Linked DNA regions of Mus musculus. The protein of the gene in region 2 purifies or fractionates together with the protein of the main gene of each other region. This does not show direct contact. Links are inferred from orthologs where the notes say so. Each region holds a gene or a part of one and is shown on either strand. Other genes may lie near its edges.

Region 1 (3,745 bases), on a different chromosome or scaffold from region 2:
GACACTGGCTCCGTGGTCTTAGGCGATGACTGCATGGAGTACTTGGTGATGGGGCCTTTGAGGATCAGGTCTTCCACAGAGCCGCCCACCTCCGTCATAGTCCGACGGATAGATGTGAACTTGCGCAGAGGGATTCTGTCAAGATGGGACAGAGGTATTAGCACCCAGCTTTGACTGCTGTGTCCTCCAACCTCCCACCCCAAAATACCCCAGGCTGGGCCAGGGCAGCCCTCTAGTACAGAATGACTGCCAGCCAGGCATGCACCTAGGTGCCTCTAGCAAATTAAATATCTCAAAATGGCCACAACATGTCACAAACTCCTGCCCCAAAGCCATAGGCCCACTGGCCCACTGACCCACTGAATCAGCTAAGGACATCCTATCACTACCACAGACACCTCAGGTTCAGTCACAGAAGCTCGCTCCTCATGTCCAAGGATAGGCTAGTGTGCCCACCCCTTTCCCTCACCAACCACACCCCAGTCAGGTGGTTCTCAGTCACCCTAGAGTGAAACAAACAGCACATACTGGGCCAGCTCTTGCTCTGTCTGCCTACCTGGGTTACTGGCTAGTGGGTTCTGTTTAGGGTGTGGCCAGGCACTTGTACCTGGTGCCCTGGTGAACCCAATCCTACATCAGGAGGAGGTGGAGGAGGAGGAGGAACAGGTGCATCCAAAGCAAGGTGCACCATGGGACTCTGGTTGATCCACTGAACCTGGCCCCTAGCCACATCGGTTCCCACGTGGACTCTACAAAAAGGAGCCCCACCAACCACCCCTACCAGGCCTGCAGTGACATTATCATCCTGGACAGTCCCTGGAGGTTCTTCCCCTAACCATCCAAGAGGCTTCAACACCAACTCCTCATGCTCTCCCTAGCCATCCCTGCACACAATCTGGCAACTCTCACCCAAGAAACCTACATGCCCTACCACCACAGACTCAAGGCCCTTATATGCTCCCTGCAGCCCTGATGCAGACAACTAAATAGGGGACGCCACCATTAGATAGCAGAGGGAGAGGGGTCCCTGCCCTGCCCTCCAGGTCACCTCTCCACCACCACCCCACCCCCCACCCCCAGTTTGCTCCTGTTCCCAAGGAGAGCTGATCTGTAATCACTTGTTGAAACTTCTCTGCCCAGGGATTTGTAGCCAAGGTCACAGCTGACCTTTCCTGGCATGCACAGTGCATGCTCTGAGAGACATAGGAGTCTTGCCTAAGAGTAGTGGGCTGGAAGAGGCAGGCTTCTGGCCTGGGGCTTAGGGGAGGCACACACCCTGCAAAGGTCAGGAAACATGCCAACAAGCCTAAGAGTGTGGCTTTGTTTCTGGTGCCTAGTCTCAGGGATCCTGGAGTCCACAACACCTCTTCCCAGAGAAGAGAAGCCTGAGGGCAGGGCAGGCAAGCCCAGGGCAGGATCAAGCCTAGGCCACTCCCTACAATGGCTCCACTGAGGCTACCCACCCACAGCTTGCAGCCTACAGACTGGGCTCCTTCCCACCCAACCCTGGTGCCCAGCCGGCAGAGCCAGCTCTACTCCCGCAGCCTACGGCCTCAGCCACCTGCCACGACCAGGGACTCACAGAGTGGGAAAACACACGGGCTACCACCAAGACCTCATCTAGCACAAAGGCCAAGTCCACGGGCCTGAGAAGGGCCTGGTCCCCAGTGGGGTAGACCTCAGCTCCAAGGTATTTGAACTGGGCCACTCCATACCTTCTCTCTCTGGGACTTGTGCAACTCAGGAGGGAGGAGGAGAGATTCACCACCCAGGACAGGGGGGATCATCTTTGAGTAAACTTCTAGGGCTATGCACCAGTGCACAGCTGTCAAACAGGGTCCCTTAAAAGGAAAGGCCTGAGGAAGTTCAGGGGGGCAAGGGCCTACTAGGTTTTCCAACTTCCACAGCTGGGTTCAACAGAATCCTATCCATGGGGCAGCACTTCTCCTCAGAAGCGGCCGCCCCGCTACACACACACACACACACACACACACACACACACACACACACACAGAGGCGAGGTTGGAGTCAGACCCACTTGTGGCCACCCTACTGTACCCTCCTGTTCGACCATAGGAGTCATAGGAGTGGAGAGGGGCCCAGGAGACCCCTGCCTTTTGAGTGTCTCGCCCCATAGTCTGTGGGACCCTGAGGAAGGCTGCGCTGGGTGCACAGGTGCATTCCAGCACGGCCGGAGCACGCGGCACTCCAGGTGACGAGCCCCGCATCTCCGGACCCAGAGCGGGTCCTCACCTGATAATCGCGAAGGAGGACGAAGCCAGGAGGCCGAGAATGAGCAGCAAGACGCCGGGAGTCTTCATGGTCGCGGCGGCCCGAAGAGAGCAAAGCTTAAAGCCAGAGGTCGCCGGCTTATAGGCAGGATGACGCCGCAGTCCCGCGGAGTCAGCTGACCCGCTTGTTTGGCCCTCAACGGGTCACGTGAGACGCGGGCGAGGGGCGGGGCGACCCGAACCCGCCTCCAACACTGCCCGGGCGCAGGCGTGCCCTACTCCAGGCCTACGCACGGCTCTCGGGAACGCGCCCGCCCACTTTCCTGGGACCGGAGAATGACTGGATACAGGTCACGTGGGGGAAGGAAGACCAGGCAGGCCCGGAAGCATCCAGAGGGGCGGATCCTGCCCTCAGCTCCGCCCCTCCCTTAATCTGTCTTTTTTGCATAATTGGGGTGCCCACTACCAGGATGTGGTCTTTGTCTGATTGGGCCCTGACCCTCTCCTGGATGCCAGCTTAAACCTAAGCCTTTTCTCTTTCAGCTCTGTTCCTCCTTGAGAATTTCCCTGGAGCCTCTCTGGACTCTTGGACCAGCAAACTTCACCCTCTTCAAAGCTCCACTACCTACTCATCTCCCCAGAGCAACACCCTTTTTATTTAAGCTGGAACACCTAACATGCACATTCCATAATGTAGCAATGTTGATTGCAGGCCTAGTCCTGGACTATGCATCTATTGATACAAGGGGTAGGGTGTACAGTGAGATGAGACCAGGGTTGCAATCGCCACTTGGGTCTTAACTACTTCACTCTTTAATGCCCTGCTTGGTGTCAGCAAATGAATTGGGTGCTGTTTGAGAGAGGCAGAGTCCAGCTCTCCATCATGGAGAGCTGAGCCCAGAAAGGCATTTAAGGGGAATGTCCTCTCTGAGAGGTGGTGTCCATACAAGGACAGGAACGCAGAGGAGCCTTGCCAGGGTCTGATCCCGGGAGCGCTTTTGGACATGTTCTACCTGTATTGAGGAGGTGGATGCCTCTAAGTCCACTCTACACATGGACACATGAGCTGTTCTGGTTCCCCAGGTTCAAAGCTACAATTCCCATCAAGTTACATCAAGTTGGGCACTTGACCTCTGCCAAGGCTCTCCACTCAGGGTCAGTGTTAATAGCTACACGTGGGTCACCACAGCCTGGATCCTGCCTCCACAGTCAGCACTCCACACATTGCTTAAAGCTTGGGTGTGAGGGCGAGAGCTGCCCTAAGATCTTGGAATCTGACCCTCTACTCCTTTGAATCTAAGACTATTCTTTGGTAGCCCAAGAGACAGGGTCTGGCCCTGGAGTTGCCATTTGCTTCCTAGAGTTGCTATCTAGAGATGATTGCTGGACCATGGGTGGGCAATGGGAAAGGTCCTCTGGGGCACCATGCTGGCTCTCCCAGCCCTGCCATAAATAGTGTTGCAGGGTGCTCAGGTGCCAATAGAGACATCCATTAGATGTGTGTCGGCATGACT
Region 2 (3,735 bases):
CACACATGCAAATAAAACACTGAAATGCATAAAATAAAAGCATTTTAAAAATACTTTGTATATAAAACAAAACAACTCATCCGTTGCGATGATGCACACTAGCGATGCCAGATTTCACTGTGTGAAGGCAAGTGGATCAGGAACTGAAGGCCCGTTTCAGTGCACATCAATTTCTAGGTCAGTGTGAGCTACTTGAGACTTTGTTTTAATTTTTACAAAAATGAGGACTGGGCAATGAATGGCTTTTGCTGTCAAGTCCAGGATTCACATAGTGGAAGAACTGACTTAATCTTGGGTCAAGTGTGGCGGCTCATCCGAGCATTCCACTAGGCAACAAAGACAGGCGAATCTCCGAGGGTTCAGTCTGGTCTACATAGTGAGTTCCGGAACACGTAGCGCTATGTAGAGAAACCCTGTCTCATAAAAACAAAACTGAAACCAAAAATAATCAAAGGACAGAAAAAGAAGAGATGGGGAAGGGGAAAACAGAAACAGAATACCTTAAAAAAAAAAAAAAACTACAGAAATTTCCTGTGGAGACATCTGTAAATCGTGTTATAGAAATTGGAATCTATTCTAATTAAGTCCCTCTACAGGTGGAATTGCGATTTTTACTGCGTCTTTTTCCAAACAGAGCTATCTATATTGTTGCAAACAAAAATTGCGCCAACAGAAATAAGTTAATATTCTAAAGAGAAGTAGTTTACTTGGTTTAAATGGTTGCTCGAGAAATTCATCCTTTAATTTCCAAATCTCTGATAAATGGATGAAGCAACAGTTTAGGGGAAACCCCAAAACAACCGCCTGGGCTACACTGCAGCTCAAAGCTGGAGTCTGCAGGGGGGGCCACGCCCCTGGCTGCTGATCGGCTGATCTAGGTGGAGGGGCGTGGCCTTCGGCGGCCGGGGCGGGGCGAGCGCAGAGTGGGTGTGTCCGAGGCGGGGCGCGCAGGTCCTAGTAGGTGCGACTGTCCCGGGCCGTCGGCGCCCGGGCGCTGGTGGAGAGGTCAGGCTGGCGGGGCATCGGCCCGCGACGGCGGGTCATGGCGGCGGCCGGCCGGCTGGAGGACGTGAGTGAGGCGCCGAGCCCTGTCCCCGCCATTCGGCTTCCTGTGCTGGGCTCAGGGGGCGGAGACTGCGGGCTAGGAGCTAACCAGAGCCGCAGCGGCTCGACCATCGGGGACGCAGGGTGCGGGGTGACGCGACGGGCGGGGACCGCGGACCCCGGGAACGTCTTCCTGAACGATCGGAGGGACACGGCAGGGTGGGCGTGCGGGACCCTTCACTCGGCGGCTCACGTGCAGTGCGCGTCTTTGGTTCCGGAAATGGGAGCTTCACGTGATGCGAGCTGGCTTGATCTGTCCTTCCTGGGAGAGACTGACAGGCGGGCTTGCAAGCCCGGGTGACCCGGCTTCTGTGGGCCCTCCTGCGTTGGTCGGAGAGCACCCGGAACTTGGAGTGACTCTAACCTCCAGCATCCCTCGGGCGGACTTGTAGCTCTCATCTCCCGGAAACGCAGATTGGCGCATAACAGTTATCATGTGCTGTTTTGAATGTAGGCATGATAGGAACAGTGCTTGGTTGCTTTAAAAAAAAAAAGTATTCGGTTGCCCAGTTCATGATGTAGCCATTATAGAATAATACAGTTGCAAAAATCTTGAGTTTGCAAGCTCATTAAGACACTGATTTATTTGAAATTGGGTGTGGGGCGGGGGAAACACTTTGGGAGGAAACATGCGTTTGTTTCCAGAACAAACTGTTTTGTCCAGTGGCATAATACAATTCCTGCCCTTGAGAAATGCAAGGCTGACATTATCTTAGCACAGTGACCTGAGCTAATAACTAATAAAAACATTATCATGGTCTTAGTATAAAAGTACATCAAAATAATAATAATAATAATGATAATAATAATAATAATTAATAATAGCAAGGTTCCAGAACTGTAAGGGCTTAGATTCTTGTGTGTTTGGGTCCTGCAGTCATTTATTTATTTATTTGTTTATTTAAGACTTGCTATGTAGCCCTAGCTGGCCTGGTACTCATTATATAGCCTAACCTGGCCTCAGATTTGCCTATCTTCCCTGACTCAACCCATTTTAATGCTAGGATGATGTAGCTAGTTACATTTTCTTGATGAAATATGTTTCTAACAGCAGGACTAATCTAGTTATTTTTCAACTGAGAAAATGGGAAAGCAACTACTACTTGGAAACTTAATACTTAGGCCTCTCATGGAGGGCAGTCTTGTAGCTGCCCTAACCAGACTAATCCTGGCACTATGTCATGCCATATGGCCACCTCTACCTCTCTGCTCAGCTCTGGTCCTGTTTACCCCCTTGTCTGCTGGCTGAATCCCTCACCTCTGATTTCTTCTCCCAGAATCCCTTTCTCTCCTGGAAAAGCCACCCTCCACTTCCTGCCTAGCTCTTGTCTCTCCTCTCCTTATTACAGCCAATCAGATACGATTCTAGATCAGATGGGGAGAATGAATATTTACAAAATAGAAACCCAGTAATGGGCTGTAGAAATGGCAAGACCAGGATTCTGCCAGCATTTAGCTCTCTGCTGGTCCAGAATTAGCAATTGGAAACACAGAGACACACCTTCACAGAATGTACCCCAACTTGAATATGCTGCTGTTTCCTTACCTGAGATCTGTCGTCTACAAACGGCCTTTTGTTGTATGACTACCATCAGACCAAGAGAGGGAGAGGGGAAATATTTAAAGATATTCCCACATGGATTTTTGTTTTTTGTTTTTTTGTTTTTTTTTTTACAGGCTCATACTAGGTAACTCAGGCTAGCCCCTGGCTTACAGTAATCCTCCTCCTGAAGCCTCCTACATGCTGGGATTATAAACAGCACATGCCACTATACCTGGGTCCCAGTAAGGCTTAATACAGCATAGACATCAAGTCCCCAAAGGAAGCAGTTACTGGGGGAAGAAAATGAAGAGACAGTATTGAGGTCAAAACAATAGCTGAGTTCTTTGGTAGTAACTCACTCGATCATAAGTCATGGCAATGGGTTGGGCGAACGTGGTAGAGTTCTTGCTCGTTTAGCATCCACACAACCCTGAGCTCAGTCTTTAGCACCACATAAACCAGGCATGGTAGCACACACCTGTGGTCCCAGCACTGAGGAAGTAAGGGGAGGGAATCTTAAATTCAAGGTCACCCTTGGCCTTAGGGAGTTACAGACCAAAATAGAGGAAGTGAAGGAATGATTTGAGGTTCTGGGGATGTAGTTCAGTGTTAGAGCAGTTGTGTAACACACATGAGGTCCTAGGTGTGGGGTGGGGGGAGACTTGTAAGAAGATAGAAAAGTTGATTGATGAATTGATTGAAAATGATTCAAGCCAGGCAGTGGTGGCTCACTCTTTAATCTCGGCACTCAGGAACTAGAGGCAAGTGGATCTCTGAGTTGGAGACTAGCCTGGTCTACTTAGTGAGTTCTACAGTAGCCAGGGTGACAGAGACACCTTGTCTTGGGGAAAAAGAAAGAAAGAGAGAGAGAGAGAGGAAGGAAGGAAGGAAGGAAGGAAGGAAGGAAGGAAGGAAGAACATAGAAATAGCAAAGAGAGAATGAAACTTCTAGCTGAACTTTGTAGAGCTGAAACTTGCCCTTTTACTAGTGGAGAAATGAGTGAAGGAGACGGTGGCGTTTGCTGTGATAGGCATTGTAGGTGGGGAGACAAGTAGGCATGGTGTAGAGATGGAAGGAGTTTCCTGAG

Evidence for each region. Proteins that work in one complex are often made in the same cells at the same time.
Region 1: the proteins of Tmem192 (region 2) and Ctsd purify together in Homo sapiens (affinity purification with western blotting; 3 studies listed by BioGRID, with this or other methods). This does not show direct contact. The link is inferred for Mus musculus from reciprocal best matches to the Homo sapiens genes TMEM192 and CTSD.

The regions. Positions count from the first base shown.
Region 1 is NC_000073.6:142,385,484-142,389,228, forward strand, and holds the start of Ctsd (cathepsin D precursor), read right to left. Parts: upstream 2,345-3,745; 5' UTR 2,322-2,344; coding exon 2,254-2,321; intron 136-2,253; coding exon 1-135. UniProt on the Homo sapiens protein: Acid protease active in intracellular protein breakdown. Plays a role in APP processing following cleavage and activation by ADAM30 which leads to APP degradation.
Region 2 is NC_000074.6:64,946,265-64,949,999, forward strand, and holds the start of Tmem192 (transmembrane protein 192), read left to right. Parts: upstream 1-920; 5' UTR 921-1,042; coding exon 1,043-1,069; intron 1,070-3,735.